Linked DNA regions of Oryzias latipes. The protein of the gene in region 6 interacts with the protein of the main gene of each other region in a pairwise test. Links are inferred from orthologs where the notes say so. Each region holds a gene or a part of one and is shown on either strand. Other genes may lie near its edges.

Region 1 (5,015 bases), on a different chromosome or scaffold from region 6:
CAGAGATTTTTTGTTAACCACACCTGTCTTCCTAATACTAACTGATATCTATCTCATATTGTTTGGTTCAGCTTGAGCCAAGGATTTATTTGTTACATTTTCACAACATCCTTGTAAAAAATTATTCACCACGCCATCTTCATTAATAGAACCAACGTTTTTTCCATGCAGCATCCCAATGATGCACGAGGAGTTAAGAGGTGATAGAACAAAATTCCGGGGTGGAGTTTAAATTCATTCGCGATACTAAAGGTGATTTTTTTTTCTTCTCTAAGAAGACTCTCATTCATCCAGGTAGATTCCATCATAGTAGTAGGTTTAAAGGTTGTCATCTGGACTTAGTTTTTAAAGTTAGTTTTAAAAGTTTCTCTTTTAGCCAGAGAGAAAGGATGGTTTGAGCGAGGAGTGAAAGAAGCCATCTTTGTCAAGAAGGATAAACCTTCTTTCAATAAGAATGATGGTCTCAGGTTTATTCTTCCATCCATCTACAGCAGTGTCCTGAAACCCAAACAAACCGAACCGGTTTCACCTGGGTCATTAACAGCTGAAAGAGATGACCAGGTTGGGGAGGGTAGCCACTGTCTCCCCAACCCCAGCTGAGGACAAAGGACTCGAGTTGACAATACCATCCAGTTTCAGGTCTGACTCCTCCCCCATGAGCGCATATAAACCAGCTCTTTTACCAGCTGATTTAGAATTGACAAAGCCTTTTGGATAAGAGGTGAAACGTCTTCTAACTATAAAAACTGAGTCCAGATGACAACCTTTAAACCTACTACTATGACTTGTTAGTGGATGTAGACTTAACCTGGTGGCGTATATGTGTGAAACTTTGTGAAGACCCATTGAGTGTGAAGAAAGGAAGTTTTCTTTTCTCATATTATGGGAAAATGTAAAAATTTGGCAATGTGGCAAATAACGGCCGCCAGACCGTAGTTTCTGTGACTATCCCACAATAATTTTAAAATTTCCTTTGGATATCCCCAAACCTGTGTTTTGGTTTCATTTGTGGATTTTGAAGTAGTTTTTTGAGCCCCATAAGAGATTTCTGTCCCGTTCATTTTTTTTGTGGATGGTTTTTCCTGCTGTGATGTCATCAATTTTGTTGTTTTTTGGGGTGTGTGTGTTGTTTACTATCCACAAATTCATTTTCACCGGGTACTAGCGGTGTGCAAACTTTGGTGCATTCTTAAATTTTTACCCAAAAGGCGAAGTAAGAAAGAAGAATTGCTAAAAACAATCTGGTGCGTCAGTCCAGGACGGCTGTGGGACAGAATCCTCTTCAAACCGTTAGAATGAGCGCAGGACGCCAGCAATAACCACAGACCTCAAAAAACCCATGGAGGATCCCGTGAAAACCGGTGGGAAGAGGTTCAACATGAACCCTCTCAGACCTAAACAAGAACGTCTGACCGACCAAATCCACAACCGAATCTTCATACCTGGATAACGTTGCTGTTGGAGTTCTTGGAGTCCGTGCTAACGAAGACCGTGAAGAAAGGCGACGTGCGTAGGCTGCCCGACACTTTTCGCAGGACCTCCTGGAAGTTGTCCTTGTCCCAGGGTCCATTCAGAGCCCAGCCGCCTAACTGCAGGAGAGCAGCAGACCGTGATTCCTCCAGAGCACAGCCGACATGACAGACGGCGTTTCAACAAACATACATGGCTGATCAGCTGCTGGAGAGGCTTGGCTCCTAACTCCTCAATCTTGGACTCGTTCATGCAGGCCTGATAATATCGCTGAGCCTTTTCTTCAGCTTTACTCAAACCCTTCATCGTTGTGTTTTCTGCCCAAATTAAAGCATCAAATCAATAAAAAAGCAGAGGACACCACAGATGAATGTTCACGTTACCCCAAAGGCTCAGATCCTGCCTCTTACCTAATAAATGCTTCATTACAAGCATATTGTGCTCCCACAGGTTGCTAAAAGGACCCCACCGGGATTTCCCCTCAGGTAGTGGGTTGTTCTTCACCCACCCCCCACAAGCAAAGTTGTAGAAGTCATGGCAGGGGTCCACAGATCTGTCCAGGGCGCCCATGACCGCGCCGGCCACGGTGATACACGGTCCCGTCAGGCACGAGCCCGGGTGACCTGTCGGGGTGGGCGAAAAGCAACGTTAAGGTTCTGCCGGAGGCTGGAAAAAAAAACACGGCTGAGAATCAGAAAAATATTTCATGGGAAGCTCAAATATGCACGAGGGTTTTCAGAGCATCTGGAAAGAATCATGTAAGCCAGGATGCACAAGGGAAAAGCCGCCTCTGTAAAAATCCTTTCTAAATAGATGGTTCAAGGAAAACAAAAGAGCCACGATAGACGTGAAATATCACCAGCAGACGCTTCCACCTGTTTAATCATCAAAAAAGGAGCTCAGACTTTGGGTGAACCCATCCAAATTCCTCAGGACTGTGTAAAGAGGTGTTCTCAGCGATCTATCTCCACAACAGAACAGTCTGTCCACGCTTGGCACAGAACAGACATTAGGAAAAGTCACGAGCAAGGATGAGAACAGCCTGTCCCAGAGGACCTTCATCCTTGTTCCTTTTATTATTTCAAAGTGTGATGTGACATGCGATGCTGAATGGAAGGAAGTGGTACTCTGTGAGGAAACGGTCGCTGATGAGAAGCTGCCAGGATGTGGTGGTAAATCCACGGAACGCTTCCCATAAAGAACACGCTCGGGGAGGAACCTCATGGTCGCTCTGTTAAAGTTCAGTCAAAGGTGGAGTTTTTAAAACAAAAAGTACAAATGGTTCCAATGCTGTTTGAACAAACAGCAGTAAAAAATTGAAAAAACTTTCAGTAATTTATTTGCCAAAATAACAAAAAATAATTAAAATAGGTTGTAATTAATCAATTTAATCTAGTCTTGGTACATATTTCTCCTTTCTAATCCCCCAAACAAGTTATTTTATGAATACATTTGGACAGAAACGACATTAAAAAGGAGCCATTATATATTTTTTATATTTGTGTCAAACCAAAGGCTATATTCAAACACTTTCATTTGGTTTGGCCTCATTTAGGTTGAAATAAAGGTATTTAGTGACCTATTTATTCCTACAATAGCAATTTGTTTTCTTCATTTTTTTTAATCTTTCCTTTATTTCTTCCTAGAATAACACAAGAAAACACAAGACAATAGGTCATGGGACTAATAAAGTATATTTATCTTGTTATGTAAGGATTGTCCTGCAGCATCTTTCCTCCAACCGCTTCGCTCTTTTAAAGACTGATGCACATGTTTTCCTGACAGAAATCTTGTGTTTAACGTTCTTGTAGGCTTTTTCAAATTGACCAGGTTTCTTAACCTTCTCTAAAAACACATTAGGCTGCTTGAACTCATAACTTAGCTTCTAGCAGAAAGGACAAGCTGAAGAGATCAGCGTAAAAGGACGAAGCTGTAATAACCTGCAAACCTTCCTGCATGGGAACTTTGTTGATGCAGAAGCTAGGCTTCTTGTGTGCACGCGTCTCCCTAACCCCAGGTTCTCGCTAGCATGACATTTAGGAAACCTGGAAGGCTGCGGATGCAAAAGGAAACACACTTTGGACTGAGGAGGAGGAGCTGACTCCACAAAGTCAAGTGTTAAAGATCCCGGTCAACGAAAGTGGTGTTTTTGGTGATTTTAACATGTTCTTGTAGCATTTTTCTGATGATGGAGGACAGATATGAAGAAAATCTAGATTTCTGAGTATTTCTTTATTCAAATCTACGTACATTTATTTGTAAAACTATTCGATTTTTGTAACTTTACCACGCCACCTGGTTGTAGTCAGGACTGTTGGACTCGAGGCTTCGACAGCCGACAGCCTACTGGCTCTTCAGCCCCACCTGCTGCTGATTACCTGGATCAGGTGTGTTTAGTCAACAAGAGGGTAGGATTTGGACCCCGAGGCCTGGAGTTTGACACTCGTGCTTTAGAAAGTCCATTAATTCAAGATCATTTGTTTGATTGAAAAAAGGAAATCCTCATTTTTCATACTAATTGGTGGAGGACTTAGACGTGTAAATGAAGAAGAACAAACCAGTGAGTAAAGCTAAGGATGAGGTGCCACTTAATATATGGATTTATGATCTGTTTTCATCAAAAGCACACAGATGTGTTCTTGCGGAGACAAATGAGTGTTGCTAATGTCTATCAGGAGAACTAAAATAAAATACAGTTCTTATCTTGTTTGACTGTTTTTAAATAAAATATATGCCACTGTAAATAAATGCAATTCCAATAAACGAGCCATCCTGAAATGTAAATCTGACGGTTTTTCAACAGCAGAAAACAATCAGCTCCCGACCCAAAAGGATGTTTAAGGCTTTAGACGTTTCTGGCACCAAAGATAAAGATCGGGGCCGTGAGCTCACCGTTTTTGTAGAAAACTCCCGCACAGATGAGCGACACAAAGAGGACCACCGACAGCACGCAGACTGACAGCAGCAGCCTCCTCTCCCTCGGTGACTTGTCCGGCCAGCATGGAGACCCCCGGCCCTGCAGAAGGCTCACCTGCTCCCACACAAACGACACGCCGGACAAATGTTAAAAAGCAGAAACGCATCAACACGAGCCTCCAAATGCAGGAATTTAATCCTTTCAGTCTTTAAAAGGGAAATACGGTGAAAGCCTCTGAATTTGGCGACAGGTTTTGGAGAACAATGGTTCTCTCGTAACTGCATCCCAATCCGCTTACGCAGAAAAGGTTAAGCATTCTTCAAGCGTTTCCTCTCACGACTGATATATATATATATTTTTTTTTCTTCTTGATTTAGAACACAAACAGTAATCCAACTGAATGGAATAAATGAGGGTTAAGACGTCATTTTTGGAGAAAAAACGAAGAAAGCCTCTGAGAAAACAAACTTCAAAGGACTTATTGCTCGGGAAATGGATTTAACTTCTTGTTTCAGAGGTCAAAGCTGCCAGAAGAATTGAATTCTGGGAGCACTTATTCCAAAAGTCACCTTAAAATCCTTTAATTAGTTCATTTGGCTCAATGTGACACCTTTAATTAACCGCAAAT
Region 2 (4,200 bases), on a different chromosome or scaffold from region 6:
CTGAATAAATGATGCGATGAAGCTGAACTCTTTGCACACTGACACACTTGTTCTTCACGCATGTCAAGGAGCACGCGTGAACATGTCACCATAACAGGCTCTTTTTGTTCTTTTATTTTGACAGGTTCCGATAAGAAGCAGGAGAAGCTGTCGTCGTCTGTGCGAGCCGTTCGTAAAGGCGTGGAAAGTAAGAACCCCTCCAAACAGGACGGGAAGCGCGTCCAAAGCCGGACCCTCACGTCCAGCTGCTCTCTGCGTTTCAGATCCCACCAGCAAGCTGCGCTACATCCTGCGTGACGCTCGCTTTTTCCTCATCAAGAGCAATAACCACGAGAACGTGTCCCTGGCTAAAGCCAAAGTGAGTCTGTCTTTCTCATGTTCTGTTGGGATGCCATCTCTGCCTCGGTGTCCGTCTTCTGTTTGCTAGCTTTCAGAGGTGTTGGGTTTCTTGTTAGCGTGCTGATCTTTGTGTCTGTCATGTGCAGGGAGTCTGGTCCACGTTACCGGTCAACGAGAAGAAGCTGAACGCGGCGTTTCGCTCGGCGCGGAGCGTCATCCTCATCTTCTCTGTGAGGGAAAGCGGAAAATTTCAAGGTGAAGCCAGAAAAGCTGATGACTGCCGTCCTCGTCTGCCTGCCGTCTCGTTTATCGTTGCTGTTCTCTCCAGGTTTTGCTCGGCTGGCCTCAGAGTCTCAACATGGCGGCTCTCCCATCCATTGGGTGCTTCCTGCCGGCATTAATGCTAAGATGCTGGGAGGAGTCTTTAAAATCGACTGGCTCTGCAGGTAAACGTTCCTCGGTTCTCAGTCTGCTGGCTTGAAAGTTTCAGAGGTTCCACCACAGTCGTCTATCCCATCTTAAAAGTGATAATGCACGCTTAAAAAGTAGTTCCGGTCACATATCTTAAATGTCCTGTATCGCTGCGCTGGCTTCTTTAAAACAAACTTAATCTTCATCATGGAATGATCAGTGTGCTGGCTCAGCTGTTACCATGACAACGGCCTGCACTACACACCAAATAGTTAACTTTTTGTAAAAAAAAACAGAAAATGGATTGAATACTTCTTTCAGGATGCCTTCATTGTCAGTGCAGTGGAGAAAAGGGTAAAGAGGACACTGACGAACCCAAATGTCTTTACAGCCCCCTGATGCTGTTAAAGGTCAGGAATCCAGCTGTGGCGCCACCTGTTGGCCAACTTCTGTGACGCTTGTTGAGCTCTCCATCTGCTTAGTGGGGACCGTGGTTTTAAATCAGGTGTTGTTTGGTTGACCAAACTTTAGTGCCTCATCCTCCTAGCTTGCATGTGTAAATGGTGATTAGGACCAGACAGGCAGCTGTGCTGGTCTATGCTGGGACAGCAGCACCGTGATCCGACCGTGTGGAGCGGCCCTGGAGGTGGGACAGTGATGGATAGAGCTTGTGAGGGGTCAGCTGGAATCAGTGGGTGGTGGGGCATTCCTGAAGGGGGCAGCCAGACAGCATGTGGGGTGTTGGTGGAACCCTGGTGACTGGGAGAGCAGTTTTAAGTGGGCTTGGTCAGAATCAGGGACGTGCATGGTGCCAGCATGGACTTCTGCTTGAGAAGGATGGCGAGGGCTAAGCTAACATTAGCATTTGGTGGCAGTTATGATCACTCTGGACAGTTCGCGTGGTGTAGATCCGGTTGTATTTAACAGTAGGACTCTAGGTGAGCAGTGCTTTGGTTGTTTGATCAGTTGTACGGGTACACAGCTGTTCTGGAGGTAGTGACCTCCTGAAATAGCCAGTTCCAGAACATTCTCAGTAGATGGGGCTTGTAGAAGCCCGGTCCAACGCCGCCAAGGCGTCTGCCTGTGGCAGAACCTGCCCACGGCTGTGGTGAGAACGGTTGTGCTCATGGTTTATCCTCTGTCTGAGACCAATGTTCACTGGCTCAAGGTGGTTGTAGACCAGATAGTTGGACGACACCTGAAAAATACGCGCAACCCCAGAATCCTCATGGTTCTGGCAGTCTTCCCGTTAGAGCACAGAGTACATTGAATTGTGATACTCCAACTTGCGGTTCTGGTGGCGGTTACCCACTGTGGGAACTGGCTGAGACCACTGCTGAACTTGCTTCTGTCGCCCACAGGAGGGAGCTGCCCTTCATCAAGACGGCCCACCTCTCCAACCCATGGAACGAGCACAAGCCGATCAAAATTGGACGAGATGGACAGGTCTGCCCACCGTGGCGTCCCGCTTCAGGAGGTTGTGCTTCTGCAGCTTTTTCATTCGGACTCATCCTACTTCGACTTTTTTTAGGAGATCCAGCCGGACGTCGGCGCTCAACTCTGTGGACTGTTTCCATTGGACGAGAGTGTGGATGTTCATCAGGTGTCTCGCCGCATTCGGCACAAACGCAGGACACCGACGGAGCCGCGGCCCCGAGGCCGACCGCCACTGAGAGAACCGGGAAGGTTAGCCAATCATCAAGCTCCTCCCCCGCATCCTGTACTGCTGCAACCACGGTGCCACCCGCTGCCGGACCATGGATACAACGGCGACCTTTACCTGGCGGCGCTCAGGTGGTGGTTGGTCGCTGCGCCCCTCTGCGTCTGGTTGGAGGCTGACGGTCAGGCAGGAAGTAACGTTAACGTCTGATGCAGGTTTATTTGTGGTGTTTGCCGTAGCAGCAACCCGTCTGGTTGAGTTCTGATCAGTTCTGAGGGGAAGTCTTCCGCTGGCGTAAACGTCCTGTCAAGCTCTCTGTCTTTGCAGGAGTTTGGTGCTTTGGAGTTAAAAACCATTCAGCTTTAGTGGGACTGGCTCGGCTTTTCAAAATAAGAGCACCACTGGCCGGACTGATGGTGAGGGGAGGACGTGCAAGGTAGAGCTAAAGCAAAACGAGAGTAAGGGACTGGATTCCGTGTGAGAAGGGGGAACAGGTAAGGGGGGCAGGGGGTGGGGCCTGAGGACTGTTGGGGCCAGGGTACCCACCTCTTGAGGTAAATAAAGGACAAATGAATAAAAAAAAGAACTTCTTGGACTAATGGTGTTCCCCCCCCCCCCCCGCCCTACATCAAGAGGACACTGTTGCCCCCCACCCCCCATGCTTCCTCGCACCCCTACCCACCCCCCTGGCACACGCAGAGAATGAGGACTCCGAGCCAGGTTGTTAAGGACGGACTGTTTTGTGGGCGGGGTCTCTGGCCCTGAATGGGAGGGTGGGTGGAGCTAACGAGAAGGAAGGCGTGGAAAGGAATGGACAGTTTTTTTGTCTTGGACTGCTAGTCTGAGAAGGGAGGGAGGGGCTGATGGGAGTGGGAATTTATGTTGCTTGACAGAACTTCATCATCATCATCATCATCTCCTCACCCTTTCAAAATAAGAGGGGTTAAAAAGCACTTAAGTGGACTGATGAGGAGAAAAACTGTTTGTGTAAAAAGTGTTGCCCCTCCTTCATAGACGACAGAAGCGGTATGTTGTTCCTTCACAGACGTGTGTTTGCATTAGTGTGTGTGTGTGTGTGTGTGTGTGCGTGCGTGCGTGCGTGCTGCAACCTCTGGATGGCCACACTCTGTCAGACGAAGCAGGATCAGTGTCACTGGGGTTCTTCAGGTCCTGGTTTCCAGGTCTGTGTGATTTGTTGCCGTGGTAACAAACACTGTGAGACCTCAGGCTCATTTAGGCCCTGAACCAGAACCGTGCTGGTCCACCACGGAGGTCACCGGTCTGATCTGCTCATGCTGCTTCGTCCTTCAGAAGGTTTTGTCTCGTGCATACGAACACGTGTCTGTGAGTGCACGTGTGAGCGCGCACGAGCAAGTGTCTTACCTGTGGACTTATTCACGTAGGCGTCGGCTGGAAGAGTACGACATCCACAGCAGGAAGCGACCGCGAGCCGACGGCCTACCGGACTTTGTACAACGAGCAGGTTGTTCACCTGGAGGTTTTGATTATTTTACACACCTGAGTGACTTTCACTGTGCTGTGGCTCACATCCACGTGCACGCTCACATACACACTCACAGTGGAATGGTCCGTATGGACGTTTGAAACTGTATCTCTTAACTATCATTGATTCTCAGGATTCCTCCAGGACCCACGGAACCAGCCGGTGGACAGGTGAGGCACACCACGTCACCTGAAAGTGGGCGGGGCAGAGCAGAAACAAAAAGGGGGGCAGAAATCAAAGGCTTTTATTGTGAAATGGCTCATAAAGGTTGTTGTTAACTCTGCAG
Region 3 (4,538 bases), on a different chromosome or scaffold from region 6:
GTACTGTACCGTCATTCTTATCAATATGTCTTTAATAAAATAAAATAAACGCAAAGAAAAAGTATTTTACGATCTTTTATATTATTAACTCCTCAGAGTTTTATCAGGGCCTGTTTGGATGAACAGAGAGCTGAAATCCTGGAGATGGGAAATGTTTTTAGATCAGTTAATGAGGGGAATTTCCCACGGCACACTTGACCATCTTCCACGGCACACTAGTGTGCCGCAGCACACTGGTTGAAAAACACTGTTCTAGGTATTTCATGAACAACTTGGTGACATATTTCAACGTGTATCTTTTTCCATTCTTCAAGAAGAACCTCTTTTACAGCCTGGATGCTGGATGGAGAGTGATGCTCAACTTGTTCTTCAGAATTCCTTACTTGGGTTCAGATCAGGAGACATCCTTGACCAGCGTTCAAAACCGGTTGTCCGAGACAACCAGATTTCAAGGAGGACAACCAAAATGAACCTGATGGTTGTCCGTGTGACAACCTGGTCTTTTATTCAACATTTTGGTATTTTTCGACTATTTTTCAAGTTTCACGGGTTAGTTTTTGGTAACCTCTGAATTGAGACGTATGCAGCTAATTCTTTCCACCGACAAACGAAGTGCATGCATCATGCTAACGAATCCTTTCTGTTTCTACATGTGCACTTTTCAATAAAGATTTTTCAAATAGAAGTGTTGAACAACAGTACCTGGCGCGACCGCTAGAGGTCTCCAAAAACACGCAAAAAGATTTAAAACACATTCATAAACACTATAACTTTCACTCATAACAGAACAGACTGACATGAGCTGGAAAAAAAAACTTTTTCCATGGGATTGATATAATATTCTAAATTTTTTACAACAGTTTTGGTATTTTATATTCTTTAAGGAACAATTATCAAAAACCAAAGAAAAAAATAACCAATATATTTAAATCTGTGTAAAGATACTAGTTATAAAGATATTGGTTTCAAGTTTTTGGCAATACTTTGTGTAACCAGATGCTTCAGTATTTAGTAAAATGTTTGTTTTTAATTTTAAAGAGTTTTTTAAATGTCCATCATAAGAGGCAGTTAATATTAGATGTATAGAAGAAATAAAGATGTAAGTACTGACATCTGAGTAGGTTTAGTTGCTGTTGAATTCATTGGTATCGAAGGAAAACCAAAAATTGGGGAGGACAACCAAGTTTACTTGCCTCGGACAACCATTTTTTCCCCCTTATTTCTAACACTGTTGGCCATCCAATCACCTTCACCCTGTTCTTCCGAAATGCAGCAGTAGCTTCAGGAGTGTGTTTTGGATCATTGTTGTGTTGGAAAAGTGCTCCTTGACCAAGTGCATAAAGTGATGGCAGCATCTTCTCCTTTAGTATAGAGCAGTACATTGTTGAGTTCATGATGCCATCAATGAAATGCAGCTCCCCGACACCAGCAGCCCCACATCAGCACACTGCCACCACCATGTTTCACTGTAGGCACCATGCATTTTTCTTTGAAATTCTCACTTCAGCAACACCATAGTTTTAAAACCATTAGTTCCAAAAAGGGGGATCTTTGTCTCATCACTTCAGAGTATTGAGGCCTTTATCTTTTTTAGCTAATTCTAGACGTGCTTTTTTGTGCACGGGCTTTGGGAAAGGCTTCTTTCGTGGACAATAACCATGCGTGCCATTCCTCTGCAGCGTGCGCCGGATGGTGTCACGGGAAACGGTCACTCCAGTTTGGCGTTCTACTGCTTTAGCTAACTGCAGTGAACTACAGTGGCGATTTTCTTCAACCTTTCTCATCAGAAGACGCTCCTGTTCAGATGTTAGCTTCTGTTGACGGCCTGGACGTCTCTGTAAGATGGTTGCACTTCCATCTTTCTTAAATTTTTAGATTACGATCCAAAAAGCCCTTCCCATTTCATGCTGTCTCCGATAGCTACCCATGGAAAAGAAATGTCACAATATCTGAGAAAGGACAGGCTTTTCTTTGGTTAAATGCTCTTTTCTAGCCACCTCTGTGCTGTACACGTCTTAAATGAATCAGTAGACTCACTTGTGGTTGAATGCCTGATAATTAGAATTCTGTAGTCTTAAGTTTGGCTTTTCTCCTAAGACTCTGACTGGGGTGTACTCCTTTTTACAACGTGGGCGTGACCTAATTTGTTAGGTCAAAAAACAAAAACACACGTTTTTGTGTGCAACTTAAAATATCTGGTTTGCAATCAATGGTCCACCTGTGTAGAAAAATGTTAATTCCAAAAGAACACTGAAGGTTTTCGGACAAATGTAGTGGGGTGTCCTCATTTATGCTGAGCACTGTACATGAACGACATAAGATCTGAGACAACACCCACCGTCTGGGTGAGCGGCTGCGTCTGTAACGTGGCGACGGTGAGCGGCGAGGTCTGTCGTTGTCACGGTAACTCCGCCTGTGAGGTTCGGGGGAGTGCAGTCGCTCTGGCTGTGGGCACGGAAAGCAAACACGGAGTTATAACTCCTGCAATGATATTCGGCCAAACCAAGAGATCAACACATCATCAAAGGCCGTTACCTTTTCGTCCTCCTCATCTTCTTCCTCACTGCTTTCCACTTCATCCAGGTCTTCCTCCAAAGCGCTGACCCGAGGGTCCAGCATCTCTGCCTCCTCCAGGACCTGCCTCCTCTGTGACACACAGGAAAGGATACGATGACTTTATGGAGGAAAGGGGTCACTTGTTTGTTTTTACTCAAAAATTCTCAAAGACAAAACTGTTGTTACATCTTTGTTCATTGTTATTTGTTACTGGATTGGCCGTCACGGGACATACGGCATGACACACAAGCGCCATTACTACACATTGAGTCTTCACTTGTTTGGTGAAGAAACGACGAGGTCCAAAGTCCGCAAAGAATTACAAACGGGGACACGATGTATTGCAATGAACCACAAAAATGATGACAACAAAATAATTTATTACAAAATAATAAAGGAAACACATTTCAAAGGTTAGTGCTCGCATTTTAATAGAGAGAAATCAGGCTGGGAAGCGTGAGGTGCAAGTAGCATTGATGTTTATTTTTAATCAATGTTTGATTATTTTATCTTTTAATTTATTGTTTGTGTGTTAGCCTGGGGGCGGTGCTGGCAGTGCAGACTCTTCCTGCCCCTTCGACTGTTCTCCACTTAATGATGTCACAATGTGAGGACCCGCTCGTTTTCGTGGGTTAGGAGGCGCCGGTGCTCAGAATGCAGATTTTTAGAGGAATACCCAGAAATGCGTAAACGGATCAAAACACCGCTTTGGGGTTTATAGTGAGAAATAAACATTACAATACACTTAAAAGCTCAAAAACCTGATTTTGAATGGTGTAAGCCTTTTAATGAAAAACAAAATCCAAATGGTTACGAATATGATTTGAAACCGATTAAAGTAAATATAAAAACACAAAAAAATTCCTCTTTCAGACACATTTCTCGGTAACTGTGTAGAAAAACTATTTGCCCTAATTTCATTTCTATCCAATGCTTTCCCCATGAACTAAAACATAAATTTGAGACAGACTACAGAGCTTTCGGAAAATATAGACACCCCCCCCAAAAAAAACTGGTCCAGTAGCTTCAATAAAATGTATAACTGACAGTTTTTTTCTTTTAAAGATTACAAATTTAAAATGCACTATTTAAAAGATAAAACAAGTATGACATTCTAAATCTACAACTGATAGTTGTACATTACTGTACAACCAATTATGAGTCAAAGGGGGCTTCTGGGAAGTTACCCACCTGAAGTCGAGGAAGGATGATGTCACACACTCTCTCTGCGTGAAGAAGTTCATCTATGAACTCGTCGACGTGCATCAGCTCAAACTCTGCATCAAAAACCAGAAAAATCCATCAACCTAACAGAGCTTCATGAAGGCTTACATGTGTCACTCCTTGTCCAGGTCTGGATCCACATGTCAGAGTCCGCTCAAAGGAGGAAGATGCATGAAAGCTCAGTGTGAGTCCAAAAGCATGTGGGAGGAGCAGCAAGGGAGCTTCCATGTTGGAAACCTGATCTTTTTCTGTATGCAAGCCAAAAAATGAATAAAGATGAGAAAGATTCTAATCTTCTGTGTCTTACCTCCATTTCTGTTCTGGGTCTTAATCTTTCTGTAGTCATTGTACAGCGGTTCCAGGTATTTGTAGCAGTCCACGGCGGTGCCGGTCAACCGCATGTACATGGCTCCAAGAAGACGGACATATCTGACAGACGTGACACCAAACGGTTATGAAAAAAATCGGAAAAAAAGCTAGAAAGAATTTTTTTGGTCTCTGGTCATTTTCATCTGTTACCATATCTTCAGGGGTTTGAAAAAGACACATTACAGCACAAAATTTTTCATTAAAAGTGAGAATTAGAGGAAACAAGGTATTTTACTGTTAATTTTATTCCATGTTTATTTGCTTTGTTTATCTCTTTGTATTCCATATTTTTTAATTTGCATCTAGGCTCATCTTTTATGGTCTTTGTCCCTTTTAAGAAGCTTAAATGCATGAATTACAACAACAACAAAAATCAGCATTTGCTTAAG
Region 4 (5,740 bases), on a different chromosome or scaffold from region 6:
ATCCGTGTGACTTTTGATATGAATTATGATAAATATAAATATAACAAATAAAAATAGAAATAAATAAAATAGAGTTTGGAAAATATACAATATAATGTTTAAAATAATGCAGTGGACACTGACAAATAAAAAGGCTATTTATCCAAAAAAAAAGGCTTTTTTTTCTTTAAAAAGGAAAGTTTCTTTTTAATGCTTTTTCTGACCAAAAAAACAAGAAGAAACAGCAGAAAAATAATTTTAAATGCAAGTACCGTTAAAAAGTAGTGCAAAGTAGTACTCAAAATGGTTTGATGTATTTCTGCAAGATGAGTTAATCTGGAAAAACTATGTTTTTTTTTATAAAGGGAATAAAAATGACTGTACGTTGTTTTCAGTTGTGTGTTGTTTTCAGTTATGATAAATGAAATCTATCATGCCATCGGATATGAATTTGGGAAGGCATTATTTGCAGATGACGGAGCCTTGTGGAGGAGGGGACGGAATATTCGTTATGTAAAGAGAAAGGTGCAAGACGCAGTTACGGAGGTGGAAAACTGATCCTATGATTGGGGCTTCAGATTTTCAGTGGCTAAAACAAAATGCATGTTTTTTACTGGAAAACGGCAAACTGTTATAGACTTAAAACTATATGGAAAAGTATTGGAGCAAGTGCACAGCTTTAGATATGGGAGAACCGCCATTGAATCTCAGATCTAAACAACTGCTGGTCACTTACTGGGTGAATATACATTTTACAGTGCAGTAGAAGAACACATAATTAGAAGTGCTCCCTGTTGGGAGAGTTGTAGGGGGAAAACAAAAGTGTTGCTTGGAAATTATCTATATGGAGAGAGTAACAAAGATTTATGATAGGACCCAGTTAAGACGTTTTTGTACCACTCCTTTCTGGGTTTTTCCAACCGTACAAGTTGATTTTTATCTCCATATGAAGATGGATGTTAGCAAAGGGAATTGGGATGAAATCACAGCAGACAGGTTGAATACGGTTCATGCTTCACTCATTCCCAGATGGATCTGAAGATTCAGTAACAAAGAGGACAGTTTTTTCTTTCTGTATCCCAAAATTAGGAAAGTATGTCGGAATTAAGCCATCAAAGGATCTTTGCGTTTTTGCTGTTGAAATGTTGGCAATATCATTTAGTTTACGCATGTTAGAGCAGAAAAGAATTGGTGATGGTGTAATGTCTTTGAAATCTTTTTCTTCCGACAGCAGGTCAGATCTAATGTATGAGATTTGAGATTGTGTCGAGACTGGAGAAATGGAATATCGGTATCAGAATTATGTGGGTACCAGCACATGGGGGTGGAATAAAAACTGATTTTCTGGCAAAGCGGGCATTGAAACAGGGTGTGTAGATAGAATTTCCATTGGGAAGAACAGAAGTTAGGACAATTATGAGGAGGTGTGTTATGGAAGACTGGCAGAAACAATGTGAAAGATAGAGGAAAGGACGACATATATTTAATATACAACAAAAGGTAGGGAAAGGTGCATCTTAAGTCAAACACTAGAGATCAAATCATTATATCATGATTGAGGATGGGACACACTGCTTTAAATAATACATTACATTTACTGGGGAAACATCCACACTGGTCTCTGTGATTGTGGGAAAGGGGAAGAATCAGTGGAGCACATTTTGTGTTACTGAGAATTGTATGGGGAAGAAAGAAAGCACGTGGAGGATGGAGTACGGTTGCCGGAGGCAGAGCGGCTGAGTTTGAGGAGGCTTTTGGAAGGGGAGCATAATTTCAATTGAGTTGTTATTGGATTTTTTAAGAGAACTAGACTGTTGAGGACAATGTGTTTTTTTTAATAGACTAGGACCTAGTCTAGGACCAAATCTATTAAGTGGTCTATTAAGTCTATTAGTGTATTAAGTATATTAGTGTACTAAGTCTATTATACTAGTCTATTAAGTCCGACTCACACTCCAACGCAGTAGTTGGCGGTAATGAGCCTTGGCGTTGGTGCCTCCCGCCATTTGAACCACAAGAAGAAGACTGTAAATTGAGTGCAGTACCCATCTTTTCCGGACGAGGCGCTATCTTCATCCGGCTCTCCCTTCAGATTTCACCGAAGCCTTGCAAGTCTTTTTCAACCGCTCCTGAAACGATTCATTTTCCCCGATAATGGACGCGGGATTTTTCCGCGTAAGTGGAGTAAACTTATTTCTGACAGTAGCAACCGTCTTGCTGAATTGTATATTGATCTGATATGTGCCTTAAATGCTACGCATTATTATAGGCAGAGAGGGACATTCGGCTAGATTTGGCACGCTTAGTCAGGGCTTCGTCTATCAACTGGTGCGAAAATAAGCATTGGTTCTCCTTTGAGGTTTTTATTCTAAACTAAGCCGTAGAAACAATTTGCAATGACACACTACATATCGACGCCTTTTTGATCTAATAATGTAATATTATTATGTTGGTGTATTTTAAAACCTGATATTCATCTGCTGTCAAGTTATCAGGAATTAGGCCAGACACAACTAGCAAGCCACAGCTAACTTGTTGGCCTTCTCCGAAGATGGCGCCTAACCGGTGCGTCCCGAAAGAGTCACGGTTGTCATTATATGAACTTTAGCCAACAGTCATTTGGCTTCTTACTGTTTTGTTAAACACATAACGATGTAATTCCGGAATTTTTCTATACCAGAGACGGTAAATGTGTCTCTTTGGTTAGCCACGAGGACTTCAGAGGACAGTTAGCTTAGCAAAAGCTAATTTATGCGTATCAACGATATGACCCAGATTCACGAGCTCAGATTACTACCACAGCGTCGAGCCCCCCTTTTCCACTGTTGTAAACGAATAATTTTGAACGAGGCAAATTTGTGTTTATTAGCCTAAAATGTTTGTTGACTAAACGGTGCTTTAAACGTTTTCTGGACAAGATTCCTACATGCATGGTGTATCATGTATTTTACATTTTGTCTTATTAAAACCTTGCTGGTTCATTATTCCAAAGGGTACAAGTGCGGAGCAAGACAACCGTTTCAGCAACAAGCAGAAGAAACTGCTGAAGCAGCTGAAATTTGCAGAATGTCTGGACAAGAAGGTATTTTTTTGTTATATCAGAATATGATGTGTTTTGATTGTACATTACATATCTTCAAAACTTCTAGTTTTGAAAGTTTGAAAATGGAACTTTTATTTTGGTTGTACTGATAAATCTCAGCTATTCCTGCTGTCTCAACTGGTCTCAAAGGTACATGTCTGCAATAATAATAAAATATATAAAATAACATTGAAATGTTAGAATTTAAAAAGGTTTTTAACTTGGTTAGGTTTTTAATTATTACAAACTTGTTTACTGTTTTAATAAAGTGTCCATGTCACAATAGATGGCCTTCTTGGTTCCACTTGTGATAACTCAGTTGGCTTAGTTTAGCCAATAAGAACCAACTATTGCAAACTTTGACACACCCATGATGAACAGAGTAGTTAACGTTAACTGCTGGTTCACTGGCTGCATGGGAACATTAAAATGTAAAAACAGCCTGCCTGGAGAAAAGTCATGTCTTGACTGGGAGGACATAGTTGGGGAGGGAAATGTTTGGAGCTTGCTCCACCTCTTTTTACTATGATCATGTAATAGCCTGTAAAATGGGCATTAAAGACCCACTCCAAGGAAAATTGTTTTTTAACACGTTCCTGTGGCATTTTTATCATGTTGGAGGACCCATAGAAAGAAAATTCATCTTCAAATGGCATTTCTGGTTCATCGGTTGTGCCGATGGTGTCTCTCCATGGAGATGTCACCATCGTGATGCCACGCCCCCGCCACGCTGCGAGTCGACACCATAAGCCGCGGTTACATGTGCAAAATATCTTGATCGGATCAATGGTCGGATTAGAATTCAACCGTGTACGTGGGCCCAGAAAAACATTTCTGATTACAACAAACGTTCACATGGTCACACTTTCATTTGGAATAAATCCTTCGCACATGCGCAGTAGTGTTTGAAATACCGGAAGAGGAAATGAGTTCCGCTGAGAGGCTACATACATAGATATCCGGCAGCTCGGTAATATACGAGATATCCTCCAAACGTGCTTTTATTAATGTTAGGGTTATTATGAAGCGCCTGTTTGCTCATCATTTTAATTTAAATCTGTGTGGTCAGTGCTTTTTTCTGTTGAAGAACGAAGCTGGAAAAAGCCAGGACTAAGAGAGGCTAACACGCGCTAACAACATTAGCCTTGTTTGATGAACATAAAATCCATGCGGGAAACGCTGCAATCTGCATCTTGGCTGCACGTAAATATGTGGGCATAACATCAGCCTTTACTTTGTCGGGACACGACTGGAAACCCAAATCCACGTGATTGTTTGAACGGTTTCTAAGGACTGAGCGACATTTCTGCTTTGAAAAGCTCACACACCGCCCCAAAGCCGCTATGTGAGCTGATGGTCCGAGCTCTGGACCGGACACACACTTTAGACCCGGTTCTCCTGATTCCGGTAGCTTGTTCACCTAGAACTGTGGGACAGATCGCAGTCCGAAGTCTCCCACACATAGCGCACACGTAACAAAGCATCCTCCCATCAAACACAAAGTCCGTCTCCTCAGAGACACGGTCGCTCGGTCCACTTGACTAATCAAGTGCAGGAGCGGACTACTTATTTTCTATTTTGTTTGTTAAAGTCACTTCCCTCAGTTTATACTGGATCATCGCGGATGAGTCATTAGTTGGGAAATAAAATAAATGAAGTAATAAAGTGAAATAATGAATAATAACTATATAATAATGAAAAATTAAAAATCCCCCGGCGATATCATCGTCCATCCCGATGGTTTACTGCAAACATCGTCAACGACCAATTTAAGGGACATCGATCAACCCTAATCAGGAGCAGAATAAAAGAATGCTGTTTGGAAAAGCTTGTAGGTGTGACAGAAGATCCAATGGCAGGATACAAGTTCTCTGCTGCGCTCCATTCTGATGTGTCCATTTGTGGACAACTAGAATCGTGTACGTCTCTTGTCTTCGTCGTCTGAGCTGGCATCTGGCTCAAAACTGTACGACTGGATAGCTCCAATATTGCTCGGCATTTTGGTTGCACAACTAATGTTAGGTTGGGGTTGTGAGGGGCTGTAAGCTCGCAGCAAAGCACGCAGATGGATGACGGGAAGATGTGAGGGTTACTCAGCACCAACAGTCCCGTCCACAACATGGAAGCACATTTCAATGAACTAATACTATGAATTATGTACTAGAAAACAATAAGACTATTATTTATTATTATTAATGCATTAATTCTGGCTATAAACAACACAATCATAATGAAAAGACCACTGGAAACATGTTTACATAAGATAAAAAGATGATCAAAGTAGGACTTTAAATTCTATTCTAAGTCTTAAAATCAATGTGTAGAAATATGGGTCCAAAAATAATGAGTATATATACATGTTTCAAGTTTAAATGTTTATGTTGTTCTTTCTTTAACATGGACTGTTTTGTCTTTAGTCACTGGTTTACTTGACGATTTGTTTGGTTTCCCTCAGGTGGACATGACCAAAGTGAACCTAGAAGTCATCAAACCTTGGATTACTCAGCGTGTGACAGAGATTCTGGGATTTGAAGACGATGTGGTCATTGAGTTCATTTTCAACCAACTCGAGGAGAAGGTAATGTTTGAAATTGTCTCTCCTTTGTTTTGGTTTGTTACAGCTTTGATTATTTTTAGGGCAATTTGTAGCCAGTAAGAAGGGATGCAAGCAAGTAAATC
Region 5 (5,716 bases), on a different chromosome or scaffold from region 6:
AACCTATTTGTTTAAATTGATGGAATATCAATTCAAATAAAGGATCCACAGTGGGGGGATAAAATAGGCGTTTGTACAGCATCTCGAGAGCCTCAGGTTCCAGGGGGGTATTCCAGAAAGCAGGTTATGCTAGCTCCCACGATAAGTTTGAGGCTAAGAAAGTTGATAACCTCAGCTTTCGGTTCCAGAAATGGAGGTATGTTTCAGGGTAGGTCAAGTTACCATGGCAACTCATGCTCTGAACATAACCTGGTCCGGAGCAGGTTTAGTTGAAGCTTAGTTTGTTTACAGAGAGGTGAAGCAGCATGGCGTGTCCATTTGAAGATGATTTAGTGGATGAAAAAGCTCAGATAATACTTTTTCCACCATGAGAGGGTGATAAGACCACATATGGATGTTGGAAAGATAAACTTTTTTACTTTGATCTAACGTAATTATTTGCTTCAGTTAAGATAAATCATTTTTTTCATAAACTTAATGGGAGTTTTTCAGGTTTTTTTTATGACTAACACGGGAAAAAAACTTACTTTTTTCTGTGTTTCTTCCTTGCCCTGCTCACCGTGCAGTGATTTCCTCATCCCAAAAGCAATGCTGCTCTCAGACAAGTTTTGGTAGGCTCTTATCATCATCTGCATCTCATTTCTGACCCGGCACAACAGCAGACCTCTCTCCGCACATTCAATGGTTACCTGTCTGATGAGTTCATCTCAAAAAGGAAATAAGATGCATAATACATTTATATTTCATAACTATCCACATTTTTACTCGGAGATGAGCTTTGTCCCGACCCTCCGCTGTCTTACCGAAACACTGGGAAAACAGAACCCAGCGGATGGGGCAGATGCCAGTTGGTTTGGCCTTTTTCTGCTTTAGCTTTATGTTCAGCTGCTCCTGCAGATGAATGACATCTTTCCTCGTGGTAATGGCTGTAGATACTTTCTGCACCCACTGTTGGTCCCCCTCTGTCCATTCTCTGTAATGGTAAGAAATCAGAATTTACTTGGAAAATCATTTGACAGTAACTTTTGGATGCTTTCGGGATCTTAGATTGTGTGTCAGCTTTTTATTTTTGAATTAAGTAAAAAGCAGACGTATGTGTGATAATGCACCTGTGGGCAATATTTGCTGTCAAGACTTGATCTTTTTAAGTTGATGAAAGTTGGACATTCACTGAGCTACAGGACCTTTCCTCTTTTCCTTGTTAGACATTAGGATTTGTTGGTGATCTTTGGATCACATAAAAACTACATTTGTTCCAACTGTAGCTGTTCCACTGTGTTGTTTAAAGTTTTTTGAGTTACATGGCATGAAAAGCATCTGTTTTACAAAAAAAAAGCCTGATTTTATTTGATTTCCCAGATTTGACTTTTGAGAAATAAAAGTTGAGGATGGTCATTGTGCTCTGGTGCATGCCACAGTCTATGTTTGTCTGCATAACTTAGGAAGAAGAATAAATAATAATGAATCTAGAATAAATAAATCTGAATCGTTGTGCTTAGGTGAGCTTTTGAGGTTTTCTTTTACCTAGGTGGTAAGATGGCATGCAAAATGTTTTCATCCAAATTCTGTGTAGGGGGAGATGGAACACCTGCTGCAAAGCTGGGAGCTGGAAGGTTGCTCAACGTTAGAGTACGTCCCTATTAACGAAAAAAAAGGGGGGAAAATTGTACATTTATTTGTATTATTATTTTTTTGTAATTTCTTTTATTATTTTTGAAGATTTTATTTGGTAGCCTTTCATTGTCCACAATAAAGAAATTATGGAAGTACAATGAGATTTCTAGCCTTAATTGATATAGTTTCTGGGCGCCAGTTAAATAGATCATTAACCATCAAGACTTACCTTTTGAGATTTTTTATCTCCTTTTGTTTTTACCAATATCGGATTATCGTATTTCAAGAGGGACTCGCCAAAAGAAGTCATCGTTTTGAGGTGAGAGAGCAAGTTACACGTTTTGTTAGAAATACCGTTTCACTGTTTGTGTTGTCATGGCGACACTTTTTCAAAATAAAATAATATTGATTTGAACAAAGTTTCATTTAAGAATACTTTTTATGTAATACGACACGTATATGTGTCATCAATGCTTCAGTCTATGACAAAAAAAACTTGAACATCACGTTTTCCCCATTTAAAACGAATTAGGCCATGGCGGAACCAACAATAGGGAGCACATGGAGCACGTCGAGGGGATTAATTTGAGTCACCGGAAACGGAAGTTTGTTTTCACAACGCCAGAAGTTTGGTAACGCATCAAAGGTTTTATTTTTTATCTTGGCTTGTCTTTGTCTAGCTACTGTGTCGTGTTTTGGTTGAATTGAGCTCAAATTTATTGGAAAAATAAACTAAAATGACTAAAGAAAAGCGAGACAGAAGAAGGGAGTCTCCAGAACGGCAGCCCGAAGTGAAGATAAAGCAGGAGAAACTGAGCCCGAGTAGCACTAGCAGGCCACACAGATCACGCAGTCCACAGGGGAGACGAGCTAGCAGGTAAATGTCTGAAGGTTTTACTACGATTCATGACGTAAAACTGTCTAAATATAAAACAATTCACAACATTATTTTTTTGTTGTACTTTCGCTGATGAAAATCTAGCTTCCGGTTTTCATTTTTGACGGTTACGGAATAAACACTTAACGTAAGGGATACCCGGTTGCTCCAAAAGAGTTTTGATCTGAGGTTTCTGTAAATCAAATAATCCTTAACACGTTTGTGTCAAAAGTAGTATAAGTATCTGACTCGTATCAAGTAAATCTTGTTTATTGTTCTAAGATATTTTATTACCGTCTTGCTGATAAATCAAGGTTAGACTAGAGACATAAAATTTGCTTTAATTTTTTTTTTTATTGAAATATACTCATTACAAAACTCTGGCAGACACAACAACACAATGATGCAAGGCACAGCTCTTCACGAAAAACAAAGATAAAAAAAAAACAAGAATGTATACATATATAAAAAAAACTATCAGCATAAATTAAAATACAAGGCAATCAACAATCTGGACCCTAGATTTGTAACCATTCTGTAGCAGATTTACAAATGTCATCAATGAAAGAATTTGAGTTGTGAATACATTTCAATGAGGATAAATACAATCTGACTTCATTTTTAAAACACAGGAAATTCGGCCGATCTTTTTTCCACTTTTGCTTATGAATATATTTTCCCAAAATCAGGAGGATGTTCACTATTTGTTGGCTCTTTTGGCAACTTACTGTTTTAAAACAAAATATGTTTTTCTGTGAATTGTATGTTGTTAATTTTTTGACTAAGCCAATTATGAAAATCTTGCCAGAATCTTTCACTGGTCTGGACATGAAAAAAACAGGTGTTGGGTTGTTTCTGGGGTTACCTGACAGAAATCACACGGATCAACCTCAAAGCCAAATCTACTTCTCAATGTCTCTGCCGATGGGTAATAATTGTTTATAATTTTGAACTGCATTTCTTTAATTTTGGGAACCACTGGCCATTTTATGAATTTCCATAGTTGAGCATCTGATGTGACAGGTGTCTCAGTTATTTTATATTTCACTTTTCTGTTAAAGTCATGGTATAATTTACCTCTAAAGGATTTGTTTAGCAATTTATTATCACGTTTTTTTTCACTAAATTTTATTTCTCCTATTACTAAATTTGGTAGTTTAATTTGAACATAGGAAGACAATATTGTATTTTTTATTAAATGTATTGAAGCAATTGGAATTGCTCAGCAGGTTTTCTGAAATTCCTCGGTTGAGCATTCAATATCATATTTACCTTTGAAGTCTCTTAACTGAAGAATTTCTCCATTTGAATCAAGAATATCACTTACAAAATGATCTTAAGATAAATATACTTTATTGATCCCAGCTTGGGAAATTGGGTTGATGCAGCGTCGGCGTTAGGCTCAAGGTACAAACATACAAACAATAGATGACAACAGAGAACCAGAACAATTTTATTTATTTTTTTATTTGAAATGGTTTATTTCAAGCAATTAAGTAGAAATAATACACAACAGCAATATAATCATCAGTTATACATTCATACAGTAACTAATCAAACTTAGGATAATTATACATATTAATAAATATTGCTTGAAAGGGAGTGGAAGGAAGCGAATTTATATAATCCCACCCCGTTATACTGTAACCATTTTATTACATGATTTATCAATATCCGGTTCCCAGTTTATATCATACAGAATTAAAAATCATAAGATATCGATAAAGCACATGACAAAGATGAATTACTTAAGTATTACGTCAAAAATAACTATTTTAGAAATCAACATGGCAAATGCAGATCAGTCATCTGAAATATATGCAGATTATGTTACTTATAAAAGCCATTCATATGAATAAAACATAATACTATATCAGTAAAGTAGACACAACACTGTTTCAGGAATTTTCATAGCAAAATTTCATCAAGTATCAAAAGTTAAAAACATGTGCAAAATTATGCTACATTAGGAAAGATTTTTGAATCAATTTATCAATTTTTGGAGAAAGTGAAATAAAATCATTAAAAGGCAATCAATTTAACAATTTTCAATAAGTCATTAATCATTTGTTTTACTTTTTTAAATATTTTTTTTGTATTTTTATTATTATTTTTTTTATAATAAAGTAATGCTGTAGGGGGAAAGTAAAAAGGGTCCATAACTGTCGATTGTCCAAGGTTGGTCTTTCTTCTTTAACTGATAACAGCCGTACTTCTGGGTTCAAAACAGAGTTTATAGTTCTCTTCGATGTTATGACTGCAGACATTAGATTCAGGTCCATATCCTTCTTCAGCTGATATCAGCGACGGTGAAAGTTGAGGTCAAGTTGTCTGCAGGTCAGAACTCTCTGCTGTTATTCAGGTGACGTCAGACATACAGAGAAAGTGGGGAATCCACGTGTCATATTTCTTGAAATTATTTGGCTCTTTGGTTTATTACTCCATGTTGTTTCAGACGACCGTGATCAAACACTTCTCAAAGTCCTTCATGGTGTTCACAACCAGAACCTTGGATCGGTCCTCTGGACCGAGCGGTTTGACGTAAATCCTGCAGCCTTTAATCAGAAAGAAACATCAGTGAAAAAGAACAGTTGTATTGTGTGACCCATCAGGAGAGAAAAACAGACAGACCTTAAATGAGTTTATCTATTGCACATGGATGACAAGTTATAGAGTCCAATGGAGTGAGGTATGAAAGATCTCCTGAAGCGGTTGGTGTGACAGCGAAGCTGCCTTGGCCTATTGGAGAAGGAGCTCCGCTGACGGTCAAGTACAGGATGGAGAGGATGCTCAGGATTATCCATGATGGATACCAGCTTATTTAAAGTCCTCCTCTCCATCACAGATTCAAACGTGTCCATTTTACAACCGATTACGGTGCCAGCTCTTCGGATCAGTTGGTTCAGTCTATTACTGTCCCTAGCAGATATGCTGCCCCCCCCCGGCAGACCACCGAGAAGAACAGAGTGCTGGCCACAATAGACTTGTGGTCGAAAACCAATTCTGATGAAACATTGTCTTCCTGTTTGTGGTAATTACTCTGTTGTTCCACAGGGTGGCGCAGTTAGGGGTGAAATTGCAACTAATCTACCTACTTTTTTGAACATGTTTTTGTGAATATGAAACTATATTGAGTCAGGATTAGCCATAAAGTCTTTTAACCATTTTATTCTAAAGGTTCTAACCGTTGATTCAAAATCAAAAAATTTGCTTCAAATTGTCCTG
Region 6 (5,810 bases):
GAATTGAACTGTGTACCCAGAAAAACTTTATCCGATAATAACAAACGTTGACATACGCCACACTTTCGGTCGGAACAAATCATTTGAACATGCGCAGGACAGTCGTAAACAAATTTTGATCCGAACGAGTCTGACAGGCGCCGAGTATTCTGAACGGTGTGGTCACATGACGCATTTTGGTTCTGATCAGGCGTTCATTCCGATTACTTTTGTCCATGTAACCACGGCTACTGACTGGATGTAAAATCCAATCAGGTCCTCCACATCTGATAAAAATCGTCCTGAAAACATCCTAAAAATAGGCTAACATGGTCTTAAACTGTTTCCATTCTTAAGCTAACTAAAATATGTAGCATAGAATAAAAATAAAATCAACACTATCTGACATGTTTGAAAAGCGGAGAGGTAAAAAAGCAGATTTGGAGCCAAGCTGAATTTAGCGATAACATGTCTCTTTTTTTTTTTTTTCCCCTGGAATTCACATCTCTGTTTCTGTTGTGATCCCAATAAAAACTTTATTATCCCATTCCTGTGACAGTGGAAGACCCGTTGGATGACATTCAGGACAAGGATCACTGGACTTTCATGAAGCAGTACTTGCAGGATTGGCCTTTCCCCCCCCAGAGCCAGTACAAGGTTGGGGAGGTCATGAAGGCAGAACATCGGGGAACCCAGCAGGACTGCAAGGTTCTGCTCATCGACAGTAGCTTGTTGAAAGTCGTTTTCCAGGTTTGCACCCCCTCATTGTTTTCCTGTTTCTCTTTCTGTATTATAGTATCTTCCGCCTTTTTTTTGCTGCTTAACTCCTTCCATTTTTCAGCTATTTTAACCATTCAACTATTAAAATGTTCGGCTCTTTCAGCTTTTTCCAGCTATGACTTTTGGTCCTTCAAATCCTTGAACTTTTCAAGATATTCCAGTATTTCCAGGATTTTTGCCTCCATTGAAATACATGGAGAATCCTTGGTGCAGAAGCTCGCTGGTTCGAGACCCGGCTCTGGCATTTTTCACAAAAATATCTTTTATGATTATTGTGCTGTTTTCACTTTATTTATGGTCAACTTTGATGATTTCCTTCTTTTTTATGAATTATTTTTCCAATTATTAGCCTTTAAATTTTATTTTCATTCAGCAATATAGCATTCAAACCTGCATTTTCTTCTGGAAATGCAGATCTTTCTAGTTTCTAGTGTTATCTTTGTGTGGTTCCTTTTTTTTGTGAGCTTTTGTGGTTTGTGTGGTCTTTCCCAGAGTGACGGGCACACAGAGTGGATCTACAGAGGCTCCTTACGGCTGGAGCACATGCTGAAACTGAGGCGCTGGATGATGTCCAAAAATAAGAAGAAAACCTGATCGTGTTTATCAACATGTGTCTGAAGTTATTTCAGAAAAGAAGTTGCAGAAGGAGGACATTAATTGTCGAGGTGCGCTGTTATCGAGGAACTTCCTTGTGAACAGTTGAATGGATTTTATTTAGTGTCTCTAAAAGTAAAATCTACATCTGAAGCATCTGTGGACATTACGCTGCTTTACTTCACTTTTTGTTCACTTTGTATTACATTAATTATGGATTCATGCTTACTTTAATGTAGTTTTTAGTCTTAATAAAATGTCTATTTTTCTGCTTGTTCTTCTTTTAGCCTGAAATGTGATTATAAGCAAAACATCTGCTGTTTATGACTGAAAAAATAAATGAAAAAAATCAAAATAAATTCAAATAATCTGCAATTATTAATCTTATTCCAATTTATTGTTATAGTTTTGAAAATGTTAATGTACTGGTTAGCCTCTCATTAGTAAACCGTCCGTTCTTGTTACAATTATTTATAAAAATCCCTTTGATTCTGGTCTGTATTTGTGTTAAAGACGCAAAAGATGGTTTTCATTATTTTTAAACATTAAAAAATGTGAAGGTCTCAAACTTTTTAAATCCATTTTTGATTTCATTCAAACTAAATGTTTTTATTTATTTAAAACCACGTTTGTTTGGAAAACAGTTTACTTACAGATAAAACAAGAGCAAATGTGGAACTTTCATTAATTAAAATGAATTATTCTTACTTTAGATCTAAATAATTGCTGTGTTTTGGATGGAAATAACGATTTTCATTACATTTTAAACCTGGAAAACATGAGGACAAATTTATTTTGGGATTTTTAAATTACGTTAAATTTACTTTTATATTGATTGTTCATTTTGGGGAAGCAACAAGGAACAGCAGCCACAAATAAATACATTTTTTAAAATGTGGCCAGATGTGAAAGTTTAAACTACCTCAAAATCAAATGTATTTATGTAATGACCAGATTTAGATAATTTGTTGCCCAATCTTTTTCTTTAAGTTTCATTCTATTGCAAACTCGCTTCCATGGAAATAAAACAATATTAATCTCGATAAGTATGATTTAATCCCAGATTAGAAAGGACTACGGTTTCCTAAAATGTCATGGAAGTATTTTGGAAAGAGGAGACGTCCTCGCGCGCGGAGGCGGGGCCAGCGGCAGCAATTTGAAGCAGAAGCTGCGCTGCCTGCCGCGGGCCTCAGGCGGACGACACCAACCGAGCACCAGGCTAGCAAGAATTTTGCCGAGAAATATTATCGCCACCACGGATTTCTTATGGGATAAACGCACAGGCCTCGCTGCTAAAACGGTAAATAGTTTCTAGCTTTCTTTCGTGTCATTTATTTCCAAGTTTGACGGCAGTTTGTACATTAGCTTGCTGTTACGGAGCTGATAAATCCAGCTAAGCTAAGATGGCGGTCTAGTTATTTACATTAGCAAGATGCTAGCATGGAGTAGCTACCAACTAAACACCGATATCTTGAATTTATATAGAACGCGTTTTTTCTGGTGTCATTTATCACCAGGTTTGGGTGCGGTGGTTATTTTTTTGTCGATCTTAACGTTTTTAAGAGTAAACAAATCAAATCATGTTTCAGACGTTACTTGGAGGACTCGGATTTTTTCCCCCGTCAATTAAACGATCTGGTTTAGCAAAGGTTCAAACAAACTTGATAGAAATGCTGTTAAATATACGGGAACTCAGAGCGTCCTGCTCTTCATTATCACTGTATTATGATTTTTAGTGTTGATAGTTTTTAAATGAACTGTCTGTTATTAACGGAGGCGGTTCTGCTGCTCGGAGTTAGTGCAGATGGTTTAGTCTGGCTCCTCTGATGTTGCAGTGTTGCTCCTGTGGGATTGTAGTTCTGGCTCCTGCAATCCCGCAGGAGCTGGGGTTGCAGTCTGGATCTTCTGGGGTTGTTGCAGTGTTGCTCCTGCAATCCCCAGGATTGGCTCCTGGGGATTTCGGTCTTGCTCCTGAAGAAATGCAGTCTGGCTCCTGCGGGGTTAGTGTCTTGCTCCTGAAGAAATGCAGTCTGGCTCCTGCTTGGATTGCAGTCTTGCTCCTGCAGGTTTGCCGTGTGGCTCCTGCGGGGTCTCGTGACACATTTTTATGTTCTCAATCAATGCAGCTATCTCTGAGGAAGCCGTCCCAACCCAGTTACACTTGGATTAAAATATATGTTTGGGATTCCTCATAAATCTGATACCAAGATTATTCATCTTTTCATATAATTCAACATGTAAAATATAAGTCTTTGTCCAGTTTTGACTGATGATGGTTTTTCTGTGGATTTATCGGTTTTCTTTCTCTCACTCCTGCAGATGCCTTACACAAGACGGTATTCGTCTTCTGACAGAGACAGTCGGACCAGCTACCCGGACCGCTACCGAGACAGAGGAAGGAGACAAAGGTACAGAAGATCACCCACCTACTCATCCAGCAGTGACCGAGAGCGTGACCGAAGAGGGCGGGGACACAGACCCAACGGAAGCTATGGAAGAACCAGGAGGTTTGTCTCCAAGAGCTGCAGTTTTTGTTGGTTTTCCTCTCCAAATTTCAAAAGAATCTCCTTTTTTGATGCAAATCTTTGTGTTTTTACTTGTCTTGTACAGTCGCAGCTATGACAATCGCTCAATGGAGCATCGACCGTACGACCGAAGATACTGTGAAGGATACCGACGACTCGATCCCAGCCGAGATCAAGACCGGGACCGGGAGCCCCACGGCACAGCTGAGAGCTTTTATCCACGAGAATTCTCCCCCAACTTGTACGACTACCGACGCGGCCGTGAGAAAGAGCGGGAAAGGTCCTACCAGAGGAAAGGCAGCAGGCGTAAGCACAAACGAAGGCGGCGTAAAACCAGGTCCTATAGCCAATCCTCCTCGGTGAGTACGACCATGTCTGAGACGGTGCTTTAGCGCTTTCTTCATCTTCTCCTCTTCAACCTTTCTTCTCTTCCTTTAGTCTATCTCTTTCTCTAACCGTTCCTTTTTTTACAGCTTGTGGAATTGGTAAGTAGTATATTTTATGATTTGATTTTGTTCTGTTTTTTTTTTATTACACTTTTGCAGAAATTGGCATTCCGTTTTCAGGGCATTTTCATTTTTTGGCAATAACATCTTAGTCATTCCTTAGACCAAATTTTGGAGGTTTCTTATTCCTAAACATCTAATCAACTTTTATTTTGTAGTGGTAGTTGATTTCTAAGATTGCATAGAAAAGTGAAAATGTTCTTTCAAAAATCATAAGTAGCCTTTAACAAATTTGCCCTTTTAGTTGTTTTTTCTCTTTATTCTGTTAATTAAACCACACCTTTAAGGTAGTTTAACTTGAGGAACTCCTAGGTAAAAAAAAATGGATGTGGTTCATTTTTGGAAGTATTTCTGCTTGAGCTGGTCTCCTTCAGTAACTTTTTTCTTCCATCGTTCTTCCAGAATGTCAGTCTGAAAAGTTTTTTTTTTTGATAAATGCCTGTTTTTATTGGTTTGAGATGATGAATGGAAATGCCAGATGCTTCTTTGTTTGTGAGCAGTCATGGTTTGGAAGGTAGAGGGGGGAGAGGAGCAGAGGACGACAAATGATGTTTTACTTTCCTTGCACTATATCGTTATCTATTTCCTTCACGTGCTGTCATGCGTGAATCGCCCCATGACCACGAAATCCACCTACTACTACTACCACCACCCTCCTCCTCCCTCCTCATCCACCTGTGCCAACACTGAAACCCCCGCGTCCCCCCCCCCGGTCGTGTTGTGACCTGCTGATGGCGGTCTGGGTGAAAAAACAGAGGAGCAACAGCCGGACGCGGGCACTGAGTGTGAGGGACGACGAGGAAGGGCACCTGATCTGTCGGAGTGGGGACGTCCTGCAAGAGAGATGTACTCACTGCCACTACTCTATCGTAACCCTTCTCCATATGAGTATTACAGCATAGAGCATTTACATGACACAAGGAGTGCCTGATGACGATGATGATGATGATGATGATGCCTTGCTAGAATGCTCTTCGCTCTTGCTGAATTAGCAGGGTGGACTGCAGAAATGTTGAACAATTTAAGATGGACTATAGCTTTATTTTCTTCTCCCACCCCCCCTACTTTAGCCGCTTAGGCTGTGGAGCATTTTTCCGTTTCACAGGTTACTCGACTTCGCTAGAGTTCACCTTGTAGTTGTGAAGCTCAGAGCTTCATCTTATCAACCCCAGCTTGTCTGTTGTTTACAGGGAATCCACACAGTTTAGCAGCTCGCATTCAACACTTACTGTCACTTTAGCAACACTTTAGCCTTTACCACATTGACATCACACTTTTAAATTCATTTAGAACATCACGACGATTCAAATTTAGTCATTTAAAGAGTGGAGTGCCTTACGGCTGCCTCCTCTGTTAATTACGGATCAGAACGTTAGACCGGGTAGGCGGCTGTCTTCAGACTGGGATGGGCGATCAGTGACATGCC

What was found.
Region 1: the proteins of dual specificity protein kinase CLK2 (region 6) and ece1 interact in binary tests that used the Homo sapiens proteins (3 or more experiments, as listed by UniProt). The two-hybrid records come from large-scale screens. The link is inferred for Oryzias latipes from reciprocal best matches to the Homo sapiens genes CLK2 and ECE1.
Region 2: the proteins of dual specificity protein kinase CLK2 (region 6) and ythdc1 interact in binary tests that used the Homo sapiens proteins (3 or more experiments, as listed by UniProt). The two-hybrid records come from large-scale screens. The link is inferred for Oryzias latipes from reciprocal best matches to the Homo sapiens genes CLK2 and YTHDC1.
Region 3: the proteins of dual specificity protein kinase CLK2 (region 6) and prpf38a interact in binary tests that used the Homo sapiens proteins (3 or more experiments, as listed by UniProt). The link is inferred for Oryzias latipes from reciprocal best matches to the Homo sapiens genes CLK2 and PRPF38A.
Region 4: the proteins of dual specificity protein kinase CLK2 (region 6) and srrm1 interact in binary tests that used the Homo sapiens proteins (3 or more experiments, as listed by UniProt). The two-hybrid records come from large-scale screens. The link is inferred for Oryzias latipes from reciprocal best matches to the Homo sapiens genes CLK2 and SRRM1.
Region 5: the proteins of dual specificity protein kinase CLK2 (region 6) and snip1 interact in binary tests that used the Homo sapiens proteins (3 or more experiments, as listed by UniProt). The two-hybrid records come from large-scale screens. The link is inferred for Oryzias latipes from reciprocal best matches to the Homo sapiens genes CLK2 and SNIP1.

The regions. Positions count from the first base shown.
Region 1 is NC_019863.2:31,114,486-31,119,500, forward strand, and holds part of ece1 (endothelin-converting enzyme 1), read right to left. Parts: intron 4,502-5,015; coding exon 4,363-4,501; intron 2,094-4,362; coding exon 1,881-2,093; intron 1,788-1,880; coding exon 1,663-1,787; intron 1,590-1,662; coding exon 1,443-1,589; intron 1-1,442. UniProt on the Homo sapiens protein: Converts big endothelin-1 to endothelin-1.
Region 2 is NC_019870.2:83,188-87,387, reverse strand, and holds part of ythdc1 (YTH domain-containing protein 1), read left to right. Parts: intron 1-124; coding exon 125-187; intron 188-263; coding exon 264-358; intron 359-485; coding exon 486-594; intron 595-667; coding exon 668-785; intron 786-2,111; coding exon 2,112-2,196; intron 2,197-2,281; coding exon 2,282-2,436; exon of another isoform or gene 2,437-3,436; intron 3,437-3,813; coding exon 3,814-3,893; exon of another isoform or gene 3,894-3,930; intron 3,931-4,047; coding exon 4,048-4,084; intron 4,085-4,200. UniProt on the Homo sapiens protein: Regulator of alternative splicing that specifically recognizes and binds N6-methyladenosine (m6A)-containing RNAs.
Region 3 is NC_019862.2:23,722,639-23,727,176, forward strand, and holds part of prpf38a (pre-mRNA-splicing factor 38A), read right to left. Parts: intron 4,210-4,538; coding exon 4,088-4,209; intron 3,834-4,087; coding exon 3,748-3,833; intron 2,647-3,747; coding exon 2,536-2,646; intron 2,446-2,535; coding exon 2,339-2,445; intron 1-2,338. UniProt on the Homo sapiens protein: Involved in pre-mRNA splicing as a component of the spliceosome.
Region 4 is NC_019880.2:16,872,983-16,878,722, forward strand, and holds the start of srrm1 (serine/arginine repetitive matrix protein 1), read left to right. Parts: upstream 1-2,023; 5' UTR 2,024-2,133; coding exon 2,134-2,154; intron 2,155-2,971; coding exon 2,972-3,061; intron 3,062-5,516; coding exon 5,517-5,639; intron 5,640-5,740. UniProt on the Homo sapiens protein: Part of pre- and post-splicing multiprotein mRNP complexes. As a component of the minor spliceosome, involved in the splicing of U12-type introns in pre-mRNAs. Involved in numerous pre-mRNA processing events.
Region 5 is NC_019874.2:23,603,045-23,608,760, reverse strand, and holds the start of snip1 (smad nuclear-interacting protein 1), read left to right. Parts: upstream 1-2,047; 5' UTR 2,048-2,175; coding exon of another isoform or gene 2,176-2,246; 5' UTR 2,247-2,351; coding exon 2,352-2,491; intron 2,492-5,716. Other genes in the region: dnali1 (axonemal dynein light intermediate polypeptide 1), read right to left, coding at 528-706, 804-973, 1,525-1,637, 1,844-1,924. UniProt on the Homo sapiens protein: Required for pre-mRNA splicing as component of the spliceosome. As a component of the minor spliceosome, involved in the splicing of U12-type introns in pre-mRNAs. Down-regulates NF-kappa-B signaling by competing with RELA for CREBBP/EP300 binding.
Region 6 is NC_019869.2:6,674,600-6,680,409, reverse strand, and holds the start of dual specificity protein kinase CLK2, read left to right. Parts: upstream 1-2,497; 5' UTR 2,498-2,653; intron 2,654-3,672; coding exon 3,673-3,860; intron 3,861-3,963; coding exon 3,964-4,237; intron 4,238-4,351; coding exon 4,352-4,363; intron 4,364-5,139; coding exon 5,140-5,230; intron 5,231-5,810. Other genes in the region: histone-lysine N-methyltransferase SETDB1-B, read left to right, coding at 539-729, 1,252-1,353. UniProt on the Homo sapiens protein: Dual specificity kinase acting on both serine/threonine and tyrosine-containing substrates. Phosphorylates serine- and arginine-rich (SR) proteins of the spliceosomal complex.